4 linked regions of the Nothobranchius furzeri genome follow. The protein of the gene in region 1 purifies or fractionates together with the protein of each later gene. This does not show direct contact. Links are inferred from orthologs where the notes say so. Each region holds a gene or a part of one and is shown on either strand. Other genes may lie near its edges. The genes, in order: rpp14, rpp40, pop4 and pop5.

Evidence for each region.
Region 2: the proteins of rpp14 (region 1) and rpp40 purify together in Homo sapiens (co-immunoprecipitation; 3 studies listed by BioGRID and IntAct, with this or other methods). This does not show direct contact. The link is inferred for Nothobranchius furzeri from reciprocal best matches to the Homo sapiens genes RPP14 and RPP40.
Region 3: the proteins of rpp14 (region 1) and pop4 purify together in Homo sapiens (affinity purification with mass spectrometry; 3 studies listed by BioGRID and IntAct, counting the BioPlex papers as one, with this or other methods). This does not show direct contact. The link is inferred for Nothobranchius furzeri from reciprocal best matches to the Homo sapiens genes RPP14 and POP4.
Region 4: the proteins of rpp14 (region 1) and pop5 purify together in Homo sapiens (co-immunoprecipitation; 3 studies listed by BioGRID and IntAct, with this or other methods). This does not show direct contact. The link is inferred for Nothobranchius furzeri from reciprocal best matches to the Homo sapiens genes RPP14 and POP5.

The regions. Positions count from the first base shown.
Region 1 is NC_091743.1:78,988,669-78,992,972, reverse strand, and holds the start of rpp14 (ribonuclease P protein subunit p14), read left to right. Parts: upstream 1-1,455; 5' UTR 1,456-1,541; exon of another isoform or gene 1,542-1,580; intron 1,581-3,401; 5' UTR 3,402-3,428; coding exon 3,429-3,520; intron 3,521-3,603; coding exon 3,604-3,688; intron 3,689-3,774; coding exon 3,775-3,851; intron 3,852-3,928; coding exon 3,929-4,007; intron 4,008-4,304. UniProt on the Homo sapiens protein: Component of ribonuclease P, a ribonucleoprotein complex that generates mature tRNA molecules by cleaving their 5'-ends.
Region 2 is NC_091751.1:33,814,123-33,818,257, forward strand, and holds the start of rpp40 (ribonuclease P protein subunit p40), read right to left. Parts: upstream 2,818-4,135; 5' UTR 2,744-2,817; coding exon 2,627-2,743; intron 2,581-2,626; exon of another isoform or gene 2,443-2,580; intron 2,351-2,442; coding exon 2,209-2,350; intron 2,109-2,208; coding exon 2,040-2,108; intron 1,967-2,039; coding exon 1,871-1,966; intron 896-1,870; coding exon 773-895; intron 388-772; coding exon 222-387; intron 155-221; coding exon 20-154; intron 1-19. Other genes in the region: riok1 (serine/threonine-protein kinase RIO1), read left to right, coding at 3,012-3,067. UniProt on the Homo sapiens protein: Component of ribonuclease P, a ribonucleoprotein complex that generates mature tRNA molecules by cleaving their 5'-ends. Also a component of the MRP ribonuclease complex, which cleaves pre-rRNA sequences.
Region 3 is NC_091749.1:7,870,549-7,874,785, forward strand, and holds the start of pop4 (ribonuclease P protein subunit p29), read right to left. Parts: upstream 2,805-4,237; 5' UTR 2,677-2,804; coding exon 2,670-2,676; intron 2,446-2,669; coding exon 2,387-2,445; intron 1,456-2,386; coding exon 1,226-1,455; intron 1,158-1,225; coding exon 1,080-1,157; intron 1-1,079. UniProt on the Homo sapiens protein: Component of ribonuclease P, a ribonucleoprotein complex that generates mature tRNA molecules by cleaving their 5'-ends.
Region 4 is NC_091757.1:33,375,397-33,379,395, reverse strand, and holds the start of pop5 (ribonuclease P/MRP protein subunit POP5), read left to right. Parts: upstream 1-1,183; 5' UTR 1,184-1,250; coding exon 1,251-1,270; intron 1,271-1,353; coding exon 1,354-1,496; intron 1,497-3,999. Other genes in the region: unc119b (protein unc-119 homolog B), read right to left, coding at 524-758. UniProt on the Homo sapiens protein: Component of ribonuclease P, a protein complex that generates mature tRNA molecules by cleaving their 5'-ends. Also a component of the MRP ribonuclease complex, which cleaves pre-rRNA sequences.

The sequences.
Region 1 (4,304 bases):
AGAGTCTGGCTTGCCAGGCTAACAGGCTGGTGCTAAAGAAGCCCAATAATAAGATTCTAACACAGACAAGGTGCTTGTGGTTTTTCATAGCCAAACCCTTTTGAACAGTTGAAATTATTGAATTAAAGCTTTGATCAATTATTCTGAGACATCTGAGAAATAAGTCACAACATTAAGTTTAAATCTAACTTTTGTCAGAGATCAAAGTCAGTGATTTTTGTTTTCTCTCCCCTAAATATCTACTGTATGAGATTGGTTGTCATTTTTGCAAAAACCACCATTTTGTTTTTGTTTAATTTTTTTAATTAAGAAGAAACAGAATAATTATCAAAAAAGTTTGGATTTATTTTTCAATGGGATGTTGATATTAGTGGAAAGTTATGTGAAAAAAAAATAAATTGACCTAAAAGTTATTTACTGGTACTTTTAGTTTCATTCTTTTGTGGAAATTCAGACATTGCTACAAATTGGCTTTGATTTCAGGTTTCCAATTATTAAAGGGCAGTTCCATCCAATTTTTCCACTGATTGAGCATCTTTAATCTGCTCACATTTTCAAACTACAACACCTGGACCAGTGGTTCCCAAGCTGTGGTTCGTGATCCACCAATGGGGTCCCCACCAAATTTGTGGGAATTCAGCACATACAAGTGCCTCGTGATTTTTATCTTGAAAGGCACTGTACAAAAGATCAGCTATTCTTCTTCTTCTACAACATGTTTGTACTGAGATTGTAAGGTTAACACACAACCAAGGGATGCTCAAGGACAGAAGACTGGGAACCACTAAACCTGGACCAAATTCTGCTACAGTGTGAGCAGAATCTGTTAAACATATATATTGTGATGTTTCAAACTGTAATTTGATTAGTGAAAACAGTCTTTTTGTTTTCTTTCTTTAATGTGAGAATTATTTATTTAAAATGTAGAAAATGTTGAAATTTATCTTGCCTGACCGGGCACATCTCTGGGTGCTCAGCACCCCTAAACCTCTGATGCGAGAATCGCCTCTGCTGATAGTCATCTTTTTGGACTGTGGGAGGAAGCCAGATCACCTGCGGGGAACCCATAAATGCACAGTGAGTACATGAAAACTCCATGCACAATTCGAACCTGGGACCTTCTTGCTGCAAGGCAACAGTGCTAACCACTGCATCGCTGTATAGCCCAAGAACTGAAATGGATTTAAATATTTTTTAGATATCATGTACAAATACCTAATTTATACTGTTTTATCTTCTTTAATATTTAATTTTTTAATTATTGTTTTGTAGATTGGATGTGCTAATGTGAGTTTACTCATTTGAGTACATCAGTATTGTTTTTTATTAAGTTATGTTTGAAATGATATCAAGAACAGCATTCGTTCTGTTCTATTGACGCAGACGTAAACAGGGAAGCTTTAAGCTTGGTTTATGCTTGAGGAATGCCAGTTCACACTCCAGATCGGTAGAGGGCGATAATGTACTTCACGTTGTAAACCTTTAAAAAAAAAAGTTGTGCTGCGCATGCGCTTTACATGAACCCTCTCTTCACATCCTGGGTGAGTTCAATTCGTTTTTGTTGGTGTTTGGCCTAACAGGTAATTCTACTTGCTTTAGTTCTGTTTTTTTCCGAACAAACGTTGACTTTAATTTGCTGTAAGTTCTTCCAGCGAGGCGATTTGTCCTTTCTGATTAAAACGGGTTAGCTTAAACAGCATGAAACATAATTAGCTTCCGTTAGCGTGTAAAGGTCCGGCATTACTCCTTTGGAATAGTAGGATGTTCTAGGAAGGTCCCGTCATTCTCGCCTCTGATTGGCAGGAAGAGCTCTCTCTCATACGATTGGCTATTTCATGTAACAATAAACCGTGTTCTCTCGTTGCAGGGTGTTCAATCTCTCCAGCCAGATTTTGAGGAGTTTAGTGAAGAAATTGTTAACTTCGTGCTATATTAACCATCATGTCCTGTTTTGCAACAAACCTGTTTGTTTCTTTTATAAAAGAACCTGAAAAACATCAAATGTGTAAATTTTGTTGCATTTAACACACTGTTAGATGACTTTATCTGTTGGCTCTTAAACACTGGGGTTATATATATTACTATATATAGGCCAGGGATATTCATTGTCGGGCCTGGAGGGCTGGTATCCTGCACGTTTCAGTTTTAACTTCAATCAGCAGGTAATTATCAGGCTTCTGCAGGGCCTGATGAGCTGCTGCGCAAGTGAATCAGCCACTGAATCAAGTGTGTTGAATCTAAAAACGTGCTGGATACTAGCCCAGCAGGCCCGGGATCTCCCTCCTTAAGGCTATCTTATGTCTTCACTTTCATAGGTTAGTGTTTGCAAGTTAGAACTAGAACACACATATCATCTGTTTAAATGTGCATTATTTAATAGAAATTAAATTCAAAGCTGATTAAGGTTTAGACCTATTTTTCATACGTATTCATTATTCTAGAATAGAAATAGTCAACACAAAGCTGTGAAAAACAGGGAGGTTTTATTATATTTAATTGCCAGGTTAAGGCACACATGTTTATCCTATTTACTCTGCTTTAAGAAGAAGCTTTAGAGCCAACAGATATAAAGTAATTGCTGGGTTTCTGCGTCACTAAATTAGGGCTGCCACAAACGATTACTTTAGTAGTCAGCTAGTTGCCAGTGACGATTAGTCGACTAATCGTGTCATTCATAAAAGTTTAGCTTATTGCACCAGGATGCTCTAATGCTGGGGTGTCAAACTCAGTTTTGCTCAGGGGCCACATTGAGGAAAATCTAGTCCCAAGTGGGCCAGACCAGTGTTTTTTTTTTTTTTTTTTTTTTGTTTTAATACGATCAACATAAAACAAAGCTGGAGCCTGAGGACAGTGTATCCAAAATAGTTAAAGCACAACATCACCATTAATAATAAAACACCTGAAGTGTATTTGAAAATGTGAAATGCAAAACAAAAAACCCAAAGAGGGCAAGCTCAGTGATTCAAATAACTGATTCACAGATCACATGGCTATATCAGTGTCATACATGTCTTTGACTCCTGATACCTGACATCTTTTAACTTTCACCAGTAGTTTAATTGAAAAATGAAAGCTTATTTTCAGACTTTACATTGTTAAGTCTGAAAATAAGGTTTACGCAATCATCTCGCGGGCCGGATTTAAACTGTGTGCGGGCCTGATCCGGCCCGCGGGCCGCATGTTTGACACCCCTGCTTAATATATCCATCATTAGCTTCTAGATTGCTGATGCTGATGCTTGCAAGGCCTCGTAAGACATCGCCTCGCAAGGCCAGGTGCCTTGACATTGAGAAACACAGAGAGTCTTTACAGCAATCCTCATACTTTGGACATTTGTCATTAACTTTGTTGTTGTTCTGATCATAACAGGTAATTACAGATTTGTGTGTTTTGGTCCACAGTCAGCTGATCTCTGAGGTTCTGTTAGAATGACATCAGTCAGAGAGAAGATTGGATCTTCTGGGTTCCACCGAACGGTGCTGAAGAACGGCTCGCCTTACTGCTATATGAAAGTCTGCCTGTTAGTCTCTGGTTTTTAGTAGTTTTCCTGTCTTTGGTGCATATCTTTGATCTTGTTGGTGACTTGGTGCATTACTACTTAAGGGTTTTACAGGATCAGGAAACCAGACTGAATGCAGTTGAACTGAAGAGTTTAATCATCACTGGTCTGAAGGATCTACATGGAGAGGTGAGCTAAACACATCTATTGTTATCAGAGCTGTGACTAAAGGCTGCATTCAGTTACTGAAATGCTTCTACACCAATGTGCTTCAGGTGGGAGCAGCGCTGCCCTTTGATGTGTTGAAGTTTGATGAAGGGTCTCTCACTGCTGTGCTGCGTGTTTGTAGTGGGTGAGCCCAATGCTGCTGCTTCAAACGTCTGACTAAATACACTTGATGGGGTCTGATTGTTTTGATATTTCTTTCAGAGGTCTGGTGAAGTTGTGGAGCTCCCTAACTCTGCAGGGTTATTACCAGAGCCAGGCCTGTGCCTTCAGAGTCCTGCAGGTCAGCAGATTTAACCTTTAGCTCAGTTATTTCTTAGATTTTAATTTGAATTCACCTGTGTGATGTGACCGAGGGTAAAGCCTGGTTTATACTTCCGTCAGCTCGAGTGTGGAGTCGCACTCAAGCATTGACAGAGGTGTTTCCCCTTCAGACTTCTCCATCACCTGGGGAGCGTTGCAAAGCAATTCCTCTACCTGTACAACAGAGAGCATAGCACCTTTCACCATTACAGTCATGTATCTGGTCCTAGATGGTGTGTTTACATGCTTTGATTTATGTCAGAGACTATTTAACATT
Region 2 (4,135 bases), on another chromosome or scaffold:
CTTGTGTGAGAGAGCTAACCTGAGCTCCTGGATCAGTCGCTGCACATCGTGTGGCAACAGCAGGCCACAGATGGACACGCTCAGAGCATGACTGAGCACGTCATTGGGCTCTGGACAGGTGAACGATGACAGGAAGCTGCTGGATGAGCTCTCACTGAAACCACAGAAGAACGACTTGTAGTCACAACACTTGGACACGTGACCCTGACTGGACCACTCACCAGCTGATGTCGGCCTCCACAGCTCCAATCCACTCCAGAAGACTGTGACAGTCACATGACCGAAAGTCGGGACAGGTCAGGTCAGTCAGGTGGCGGCAGCTGACCTCAGGTTCGTGTTTGGACCAATCATAACGAGACAGGAGTGGCTGTAGAGAGGCCCCACCCTCTGAGAGGCAGAATGGAGTACAGGTGATACAGTAAAAGAGAATCTGGTCCATAAGTCCAGTTTAGACTGCGAGACCATCTAAAGGCTCAGGAAGCCTCTGCCTGTGTTGTGGATTCATCAGCTGATTGGAGAACATTGAACCTTTACATGATATTCTGAGATGTTAAATGTGGGGTCGTCATCATCTGGAAGCCGTAATCATCACAGGTAGAACAGATAAAGGCGGAAACATCTGGATTGACAGGATGAGTCTGTCTCATTGATTAGTCTCACCTTTCAGGGTGGATTAGTGACAACAGTGACCTTTACCCCTTGTTCTAGTTTTTATGAGTTTCACCTGTAAGGAGAAGATCACATGTAACCATCCTTAACAATGGTGTGTCACCTGGATGATGGGACAGTAGGAAGTCTGTCTGCAGCTGAAGGTGTGACCGAAGACCTGTAAGGAGCCGGGTGTGGCCCCGTCCACCAGGTGCCATGCTGCTGTCCGTCAGGTCCACAGAGACCACTGCAGGAGACATCACACTCGGTTGGTTTCTGGTTCTGTTCAGGCTGAGCTCAGCAAACAGGTCAGGACTGAACAACCCGGACCTGAGTCAGGAACATCTGGACATTCTTTCCTGCAGGTTCCTTCTAGTGAGGATAAATTCACCCTAAAACTCCACCCAGTGTCCTGGCTCTGCTGCTGTTTAGTCAACTGGCTTTTTTAGGCTACCGCACGGGTCCCTTCACACCTGGTACCTGGAGACCCAACACCTATAGTCCTGGGACTTCCTTTAGAAAGCTGCTTCTGCACAAAACGGGTCAGAAAACGGTGTAAGGGACTTTCTACGCAAACCGCGCGGTTTATACAGAAACGCTTGACAGAAAATGTGGAAACTTTAAACAAACTTTGGATCTGGAGACGAAAATCGTGTCATCACAGCTGGTGATATGGTGACATGTTTGACCAGAGTGATGAAGGTCTGCAGACCTACCAGAGACCTGACCAGAGTGATGAAGGTCTGCAGACCCACCAGAGATCAAACTGATGAAGGTCTGCAGATCCACCAGAGACCAGACCAGAGTGATGAAGTTCTACAGACCCACCAGAGATCAGACTGATGAAGGTCTGCAGATCCACCAGAGACCAGACCAGAGTGATGAAGTTCTACAGACCCACCAGAGATCAGACTGATGAAGGTCTGCAGACCCACCAGAGATCAGACTGATGAAGGTCTGCAGACCCACCAGAGATCAGACTGATGAAGGTCTGCAGACCCACCAGAGACCAGACCAGAGTGACGAAGGTCTGCAGACCCACCAGAGTGATGAAGGTCTGCAGACCCACCAGAGACCAGAGTGACGAAGGTCTGCAGACCCACCAGAGACCAGACCAGAGCGATGAAGGTCTGCAGACCCACCAGAGACCAGACCAGAGTGATGAAGGTCTGCAGGATCGATCTGGACTTGGTGACCTTTAGAAAACAAAAGTAAACCTGACCAAATCTGCTGCAGGTTCTGTGGTTGAATCTGGACGGTTTCCCCTCAACCCCCAGAAGTTCGTACGAGTCTTTGTCCAGAGACAGAACCAGACGTCCTGCAGGGACCAGAGGAACCACTCAGTTTTTTTCATGTTGCACTGAAGAAGTCAAAGCTGTCGCCTGTTTTACCTTTTGGCATCAAAGCAACACAGGTATCTTCATCGATGCGAGTCCCAAAGGACAGACCATACACAACACCTGAAGAAGGTTCAGACAAGTGTGTACAGGTAAGTACTAAATAACAAGTACACACAGGTGTGTACTGATAACTAAATGGTATATACAGGTGTTGTGTTACCTTGGTTTATGGCACCCTGCAGGCCTGGGTCCAGCAGCTCGTGTACTGGTAGCTTCTTGATCAGGTAGAAACTGCTGAAGGTGTTCATCACCAAGTCCAGGTTGGAGGGGGTGACGCTACACCCAGGCAGCAGTACAGATACCTGCACAGATGAACCCAGTCAACAGAAGGTAGCACGACTTTGTGATGCTGCAGGTAGAAGCAGCAGAAACTGGACATCACCTGGACCCGTACCTGGCAGCAGGGTTCTGTTATTATTTTCACCTATCTATTCAGCAAGTACCCGGATGAGAAAAGTTTATACTTCAGTTGCCTCGTGACTCAGATGTCGGTGCAGCGATGCGCGCTCCCGCGACAGGGCATGCACGGCATGGGCAAAACACTGGCTCGTCACAGCGCGTGCACGCGCAGCTCTCACCTTGTGGTTGAAGTGCAGCTTCTCCACCTGAGGGCTGACCCGGTTCTTCTCGTCCAGGAAACTGGACCGATCACAGACCAGCAGAGTCCGAGGAGTCCGGTCCAGATCCGAACACATATTCACGGTACCCTCGTCGAGACCGGATCCAGACGAGAACCCGTTAGCATGAAACCAAACGGAACCGCGGAAGTTCTGGATGTTCTACAGGTTCTGTAGATCTGAGCAGGAGGATGTCGTGCTGTTTTCAGAGCCTCGTGGGTCCCCGTAGTCACGTGGTCTACGCCGGAAGTGAAGAAAACACGCGGTGGTGAAAGCGCGCTCCGGTCCGAACCTAGGGTAACCCGAGCAGAACTTGGTCCTGGTTTCTGTTTATTCACGTGACATCATGGTGGAGGTGGCTGCCGTACCAGGGCAGTTTGATGACGCGGAGGAGGACAACCGGTATGTTGTTATTTGTGACGTATTGGATCAGAAACGTGACCTAATGAGAACGGTCCTGCTCCGGTGTTGTACTGATGTCGGTATCCCAGGTAGAACGTGTACCCTGCGTCGGGAACGCGCGCCGTTTCTAGCTAACCACGTGTTTAACCTGCGTAAATAAAGATTAGTTTTGTTCTGTGGGTGACTACCGGAAGTGATGCATTTGTAGGAGTTCTACAGGTGAACAGCTTTGTTTTAAACACTATTGGCTCTTATTGTTTCTCGTCATCATGAAGTTCAGTCAGCTGTAGACAAAAACACCAGAGAACATCCATCTGCTGATCAGCAGCCAGGCCCAGGCTTCCCTCTCCCCAACCACCTGGGCCAGCTCCTCCGGGGGATTCCCAAGGTGTTCCCTGGCCAGCTGAGAGACATAGTCCCTCTAGCGTATCCTGGGTCTTCCATTAGGTCTCCTCCTGGTTGGTGTGCCCGGAAAACCTCACCAGGTCCAGCAGGCATCCTAACCATATGTGGAGAAGCAGAGGATCTACTTCGAGCCCCTCCACATTTCTCACCCTATCTCTAAGGAGGTGTCCAGCCACCTCACAGAGAAAATGCATTTAGTCCGCTTGTATCTGCGATCTCATTTTTTTGGTCACTGCCAAAGCCCGTGACTGTAGATGAGGGTTGGAATGTAGATAGATCAATAAATTAAGAGCTTTGCCTTCTGACTCAGCTCTGTCTTAACAATGGCAGACCAGTACAAAGCCTGCATCACCAATCCATCTATCGATCTCACGCTCCATCTTTCCTTCACTCGTGAACAAGACCCCGAGATACTTAAACTCTTCCACTTGGGGCAGGACCTCATCCCTGACCTGGACAAGGCATTCTACCCTTTTCTGACTCAGGACCATGGTTTCACCAAACTCCTTCCACTCCTTGAATAAAATACATGGATAAACAGAGCTTACTAGGACTTCCAACATTCAATTCAGTTTATTTCTATAGCGCCAAGTCACGACCAGTCGTCTCAAGGACCTTCACACAATAACCATTCCAGTACAGGTCAGGGGTCTCATCTATAAA
Region 3 (4,237 bases), on another chromosome or scaffold:
ACGGTCGTTAATCAGTGTCCTTGATCATTATTATGACGGTCGTTATTCAGTGTCCTTGTTCATTATTATGACGGTCGTTATTCAGTGTCCTTGTTCATTATTAGAACGGTCGTTAATCAGCGTCCTTGTTCATTATTATGACGGTCGTTAATCATTGTCCTTGTGCATTATCATAACGGTCGTTAATCAGTGTCCTTGTTCATTATTATAATGGTCGTTAATCAGTGTCCTTGTGCATTATTATAACGGTCGTTAATCAGTGTCCTTGTTCATTATTATAACGGTCGTTAATCAGTGTTCATGCTTTAAGAAGCTGTACCACCTTAAGTCACGTAAAAACGTGACCCAACGTAATCCACGTGAAAGCCCCATCTAATGGACAACTTTTGTCTCTGTACATACCTGCAGTTATCATCCATTTATCGTTATCCAGGTGAAATCCTCAATATATCGGAGCTAGGTGCTGCAGTTGCTCTCCACTAGCTGCAAAACCTAAGGCATGACGGGAAATGCCTGGCTCTCACCTGATCTAAGATCTGATTGGTTCCCATTCTGATCCAAACATCCAGTGGTAGAACATGAAATTCTAGTTGGTCGTATGTGTTCTGTAAATCATGTTACGTTGATGATGACAACTATATAGGCCATAAAGAGAAATGTGATTTGTTTTGTTTTCTCACATTTTCCTGTAAGCACCCATCGTGATATTGATTTTAGGCCATATCGCCCAGCCCTAAATGAGATCCATTTGCTCCACTAAATCCTCCTCCAAACATATAAAACAATTGATTTATAGGTAGCATACGTTGTTTCATGCCACACACTCCTGTGATGCAATGTGGGAAACCTAAACACTGATGTCACAAAAGGTCATCTTTGTTTGACTAAAGCTGTTTTACAAGACGAACCAAGCAGGTCTGCTCAGCTTCAACAAAGATCCCACTGCAGAGACCATTTAAACTTCTGGTCCAGAACAATGTTGTGACACTTCACTAATTCACCACCCAGGAGTCTCAGCTTCATCAGGACAGATGTTAGCCCCAGCCAGGTGTGCACAGGGCCACATGCCACCATCTTACCCTGATGGCTTCAGTCCTCCACACAGGTCCAATATGTAGTGTCTCCAGAGCTGGTGCAGGGGCAGGAAGAGCTCATACCTGCAAACACACAGAACTCAGACATGGATCCCAGGGAGAGTCCTGATCAAACCCCACCCCCCACAAACCTCTGGTGTTCAGCTTTGATCTGGAAGATTTTCATCACCCTCTTTTGTCGAGCACCCAGTCCTTTGGCTTTCTTGCTCTTCCTTTTAGTTGTGTCCTTCTTAGGTCGCGTGTAGCCCAGGATCACAGCCTTGTGAGCTAGCAAGGTGTCGAGGTCCAGGCGTGCAGGTGTCTTAATGCTGTTCTTCAGGAAGGCTTCAGTGAACGCTGCTGCTTTTGAGCTGCTAGGAGGCTAAAGGGACAGAATGGTGTCATATTCCACAAAACACCACAAACCAATCAGCAGGCAGGACAATGAGACGATGGCTGTGTTCAGATTCAGGGGTTGCATGCTCATGAGGTCAGATTTTCAGACCAGTGACATCACAGCACCCGGAGGAAGATTGTCCAAATTTAAAGAATGCGATCTTGAAATCTGTTGTTCTTTTCCCTGATTTAGAGGGCGGGTAAGGTGTAGTCTCTTCAACTCCATAAATCCAGAGATGCACTGTGGGACAGGTGCTGTGAGATACTCCGTTCCCCTGAAATATTCTGTTCACCTGTGTTGTGAGAAATGTTGTTCCCCTGAAATGTGCTTTCCTGTGTTGGGAGGTCATCCTTCAGGCTCTTCACACCATTTGTGATCGACTTTTACAGGAAAATTATGTAATGTAATAATGTCATGCTTGTATTTTTTATATTTCCCCATAAAACAATAAAATGTACAGTAAAATCATTGCCGTTCCCTCTTCTCCAGCTTTTATTCATTATTGAAAGTTACGTAAAAGGATGTAATCTCACAAAGTTTAACCATCTTTTATTTGAGGTTGTCTGGTCCTCATAGCGGACATCAAGTCCTGTGAATTTGGAAACATTTGTTTTTTATTTGCCTAAGTTATTAGGGAAACATATTTTAGGGGAAACGAATTTCTCGGAACACCGGCGGTACACCTGTAAAACTGCAACAAAACAAGGAAAAACTTTAAAACATGCGTGAGCTCCACTTCTGCAGCTTCTTCTGTAGCAGTTGCTAATTGACAGGAGGACATCTGCTGAAGTAGGGGCAAGACTTTTATTTAAGGCTAGACTGTCCAAATCCACAGCTGTTAACATCCGGTCCGAGACCAATGAGGATGGGTTCTCATGAGCCTGCAACCCCTGTGTGGATTACAGATTACTGTTACCTCCACATCCAGAGCCTTCTTCAGTTCACTAGGAACCGTGGTACATAGCAGGGCTTCACCTAACACACGCACACGCACACGCACACGCACACGCACACACACACACACACACACACACACACACACACACAGGTTGTCTTTAGCCTGAAATGTCACTGGATAAGTTTGTGAGAAACCAGCTAAAGCTACTTTTTCTGTCTAGATGCAGCTTTACGTCACAAAACGAGGTCACACTCAACCAGCGGGGAACATTTCCCCATCGAACCCTTTAGACTACACTCACCGTCCATGGCTGCAGGTTTCAGGGTTAGAAGAAACTTTCCTTCTGTCTTAAAAAAAACAACCGAAAACCAGAAGCTAGCTTACAGCGCTGTTAGCCTCTCTTCTTCTCTAGAGGTGAAAGACACCAGGCGCTGCGCTGCTGACCCCTGCTGGGCCGGTTTAGTACTACAGCTTAAAGAGTAACTGAACCCCAGAATAAATTGTTGCTTCTAAACGATATAATTTATGGAACTCAAAAGCATTCAAAATTCAATAAATAAATAAATAAATAAATAAATAAATAAATAAATAAATAAATAAATAAATAAGACATTATGAAATAAATAGCTACATGAAGAAATATTAGATAATTATGTAATCTGTCAATGAAATGATGAAATAACAGGATGTTATGTAAAATCTAAGCTCAATATTATGAAATATTTTTCATTCTTCTTTTAAATGTCTTTATTAATATAAAGTTTTTAAAAAAGTCATTTCTTCATAATAATCCAAATTAATATTGAGCCATTTTTTTAATTTAATTCATTCAGTTTTTAATACATAACGCCTTTTTAGCAAAGACAGCTTTTATTTCATAATAGTGTTTTTTTTCCCCATGGCTGATTTACTTCATAATGAGACTTTACAGCAGAATGTCTCAGTCCGTCAGTCAAGCCAGTGGGTGTGACCTGCAACACCACTGGTTAATCCTTCAACATCGTTTGGTTTTCCTGGATTTCTCTATAATAGAACAAGGCTATCCCAGCATGCTTTACGTGCCGGCTGTGGACTTTCAACAGGTTTTAAACGTAAGTTTGTTTAAAAACTAGTGGTAGAAAACTAAAAAGCTTAAAGCGGTTCTTTTTATAGATATTTTTCGTTTGTATATTTGTTTTTTAAATTACATTTTAGGTAGAATTCAGCCAGAACAAGGTGGCGCCTGTGCTTGGCTTAGCCGCAGTCACCGGCCACTTTTTCAAACTTTTCTCCACTAACCTCCTCCTTTCCACCTTGCTCCTGTCTGCGATCCTCTTCAGTAGTGTCCCTGCTACCATCTCCTATGATCGCCTGATTCTTTTGTCCTTCCGTTCGTTCACGATCGCCCAAGATGCACCGAGGACGTACCTCCCTGTTTGTTTATCTGAGTGGTGCACTGGCCCGGAGCCAAACGACAATTCCAATCATGGCGTTTCCAGCGATGTTTGTCCGGTCCCGGGAAAACGTCGGAGCAAAAGAGGTAAAAGAGCAGGAATCCAGGTGAGAATAAGACTTCTCTTAAAGCGTGGTTTATCTAGTAAACATCGGCGGGATCTTCTAGCTTCTTGTCCTTTGTTTGGCGACTTGAACGCCACTTACGCATTCCCGCCAGTTTCTCCGTCCCAAGTTTTTTTAAGGTCGGTTTTTCCTCATTCCTCAGTGGTTTCTCCTCCTGTTCCCTCCATAAGTGGTTTTTATAAACACTGTGGATCTAACCCTGCTAATTTATGTCCTCTAACTCCAGCTGTTTCTGTAGTTTCTGATTCCTCCACCTCACTCAGCATGACTCTATTAAATACCCGCTCTGTTAACAGTAAGTCCTTCCTGCTC
Region 4 (3,999 bases), on another chromosome or scaffold:
TAGTTTTCAAAAACTACTGCAGTTCGATCGTCTAAGATTTACAATGAAAAACATGTAATTTTTTTTTACCCCATATATGTGATGTCATAACACACTATGGTGTCTTTGGACTAAATTTAGAAAACATTTAATTATGCATCGTGTGTGTGTGTGTGTGTGTGTGTGTGTGTGTGTGTGTGTGTGTGTGTGTGTGTGTGTGTGTGTGTGTGTGTGTGTGTGTGAGAGAGAAAGAGAGAGAGATGTTACTAATCGTTCTAAAGCAAAGACTAACGGATTCAAGTCTCATGATAGCTTATTTGCTTGTTGAGTATAAAATAAAATTCTGTCCGGGCTCAAAACTCTTAATTAATTGTTTTTCTTTATAGCATAAACTAGAGTAGCTTAGTTAAATTTTGATATGAATTTACAGCGGACTTGTAAATACTTGAGTTTCGTTCACTTAGCCACAGTTAGCTTGTTTGTAGCTCACGTAACGCTGTGGCTTTATCATCTCCGGTGAACACTTAGTCAGCAGACAGGATACCTTTTGTGACGTCCCGCAAACCCAGAACATGCTCCGGGGAAATATCTCTTCCTAGAGTCCGGAGCTGGTCCTCCGTGACCACAGGCCACTTCTCTGTATGACTGCGCCTCGACTTCAGCTTCCTCAGCATTCCTGCGCCGGTCTTTTTGTCCCTATGGTTCGTCTCTAGGCCACTGTCTGCATCCGTCTGCCCTTTGCCGACTGCCGCTGACTGTTTGTTCCGAGAACCGTTCATACTTCAAACAGTAAAAATAAACACACACTTCAGGTTTTATTATGAACACCAAATTAACAAACTGTGGATGAGATTTCAAGATGGCGTCAAAGTGTATGAAAGATGGGAACTTGAGCTTGTGATTGGATGAGAACGATTGGGGTTGTCATGGTTACTGAAGGGTGCGCTTAGTTTAAAGTTCGAGGCTTTCCGTTTGAAATTTAACCAAGAAGTTTGTGTTGATTTTAAATTTAAAGCCTGCTAATACATCTGATTGAATCACGTTTTATGCTATCCTATTTTTTAGTGAAGTAGAGTCAACTGTCAAGGTTTCATCATAGTGTGAAGATAAAAACAGCTGTGATTGTGAATCGCGAACTACTCATTCGGGCTACCCCGTGTTTAAACCGAATGCACCTTGCAATATGTTAATGTCCACTGGGTGGCGCCAACGCAATTGAGCTCGATCTAAAAATCCGTAGAAGAGGTTTGTTGACGGAATGAGTGGCAGCAATGGTGCGCCTCAAGTCAAGGTAAAACGTGTTTTTTGTGAGTCTCTTACTTATTCTCTTACTGTGGCCATCGTTGAGTTAGCGCATATTCTTTCTTTCGCTAGGTATTTGCTGTGCGAGGTTAATGTGTCGGACATGAACGACCTGTTTCTGCTGAACGACCAAGCAGTAGCAGCGGCTGTGAAGGCAGCGGTGGCCCGCATACACGGGGACTACGGAGCAGCTCTGTGCAGCATCCGGTTCCAAGGTAGTTTGTCGTAAACCAATTTTCTAGCGTAAAACACGCACATAAAAATGAGTTAAAACATTTGATTATCTGTAACAGTTTGCCACGAACATATTACTATTATAGAAAATAAGACATGTTTCATTAAAAAAGTACCCGAACCTGCACCACGGTAAAGTTAGCTTGATGTTGGACGTTGGATATTCGACAGACATTGGTTTCCACGGTCAAGCCGTGCGCTGTGCCACAAACGGCGGTGAGCTGAGTTCCAAAGACTCGCTAATGGGAACGGTGGTTCGCTTAGGGACCATCAACAAAATTGTAGTCTTTTGTGAACGAGTACACAAAAAAAAAAAAAAATCAAAAGCTTCCAGAATAATTGCCTAAATGACTCAAAATTACTTCTGAGTTGTGTTACTAAACTACATTTACAAGACACAACCGTTTTTATAACATGTCACAAAATCTGATCTTTTTTTTTATTAAAATGTTTATCCTAGTGAAATAAATCACTTTAGTTTTTAATAAAAATCCTAATAAAAATGATCAGATCTTGCAAAATTTGATTAAAAACTGCTGCGTCTCATTGATCTAGCTTAGTAACACCAGTGAGAAAAGGTTTTGGGTATTTAGGCTAATTTACCTAGGAGCTTAATGGGAAAAAAAATCCCTTTTTTTTTTTATAAAAATCCAAATTAAAATGATCAAATTGTATGATAGGTGTTAAAAACTGCTGTGTCTTATTGGTCTAGCTTAGTAACATAATTGACAAATGGTTTAGGGTATTTTGACAAATTAACCTAGGAGCTATTGAAAAAAACACTTAATTTTTGATAAAAATTGTAATAAAACAGATCAGATTGTTTGAAAGGTGTTAAAAGTTGCTGTGTCTCATTGGTCTGGCTTAGCAACACCATTGAAGAATGGTTTAAAATCAATTCACCTAAGAGCTATTGAAATAAATCACTGTATTTGTGATGAAAATCTTAATAAAAGAGATAAAATCTTGTGAAATATGATTAAAAACTGCTGTGTCTCATTGGTCTTGCATAGTAAAATCACTGAGAAATGATTTTGAGTATTAAAATCAATTAACCTAGGAGCTAGTAGAAGAAATCACTGATTTTTTTTATAAAAGTCCTAATAAAAAAGATCACATCTTGAAAAATGTGAAAACAAACGGCTGTGTCTTATTGGTCTGGCTAAGTAACACCATTGAGAAATGGTTTTAGGTATTCAGACTGATTTACCTAGGAGCTATTGAAAAATATCTTATTTTGGATAAAAATTATAATAAAAAAAGATCAGATTGTGTGAATTGTGTTAAAACTGTTGTGTCTTGTAATTGTAGTTTAGTAACACAACTCAGAAGTAATTTTGAGTCATTTAGACAATTATTCTGGAAGCTTTTGATTCTTTTTTTACTCGTTTACAAAGGACTACAAGTTTGTTGATAGTCCCCAAGCGAACCACCGTTCCCATTGGCGAGTCGTCGGAACTCGGCTAACTGCCGTCTGTGGCGGAGCGCATGGCATGAAGATTTATCGCTGACTGTGGGAACCAATGTCTGTTGAATATCCAACGTCCACTCCAACTTCAAGCTAACTTCACCGCGGTCGAACACTGCATGAAAATAATATTTATTTAGTTGTCCTGTTATTAGGTGACACTAATGATCGTCACTCCTAGATAAATAATTTTCAGTCCTTTTCTGATCTGGTGGTGTTTTAACCCCTTTATTATGTATCTTCATCAATGAGGCTGAAAATCATCTGAACAGAGAAATAAAAACTTACCACCAGCTAAGCAGGCTGGTTTAATGTGCAGACAATTGAGTAAAAATCAGTTTTCAGCCTACTTTTAAATGTCTTGACCATAGGTGCCCGACAGTGGCAGAGTGTTCCAGAGTCTCAGACCCACAACTCCAAACTCCATTTTCTATTTGTTGGTGGAGTAACCAACAGATGTAGCGTAGAGGAACGGAGAGCGCCAGAAGGTTCATACACCTGTAACAGTTCAGACTAAAATGAGCCGCCCCCCCCCCCCCCCCCCAATGCAGTTCCTTAAAAACAAAAATAAGAATTTTAAAATCAATTCAATATTTGACCATAATCCAGTGCAACATAAACAAAACTGGAGTTAAATGCCAGTATTGAACTATAACTATATTATTATTGTATAATGTTTACACTAGGGATGTCCTGATACAACTTTTTCACTTCTGATACGATACCAATATTGCAGCCTTCAGTATTATCCAATACCGATATTTATCCGATATGATATCAGCACAAATCATACATACCTTTACATATTTTGTAGTGTGGAATGGATGAAGGCTTGATCAAGTGATATTACTCATTTGGAGAACAAGAGCCAATAACAGAAAAAATGAAAATTATTTTTTAACCATTGGTTGCAAAAATGTGAACCTTAACGGACTGCTTATATCGGAGATTTTTGATGCATTCCGATATAACCCGATTCCTTGTTTTTGGGCCAATTTCAAATTACTTCCAATATC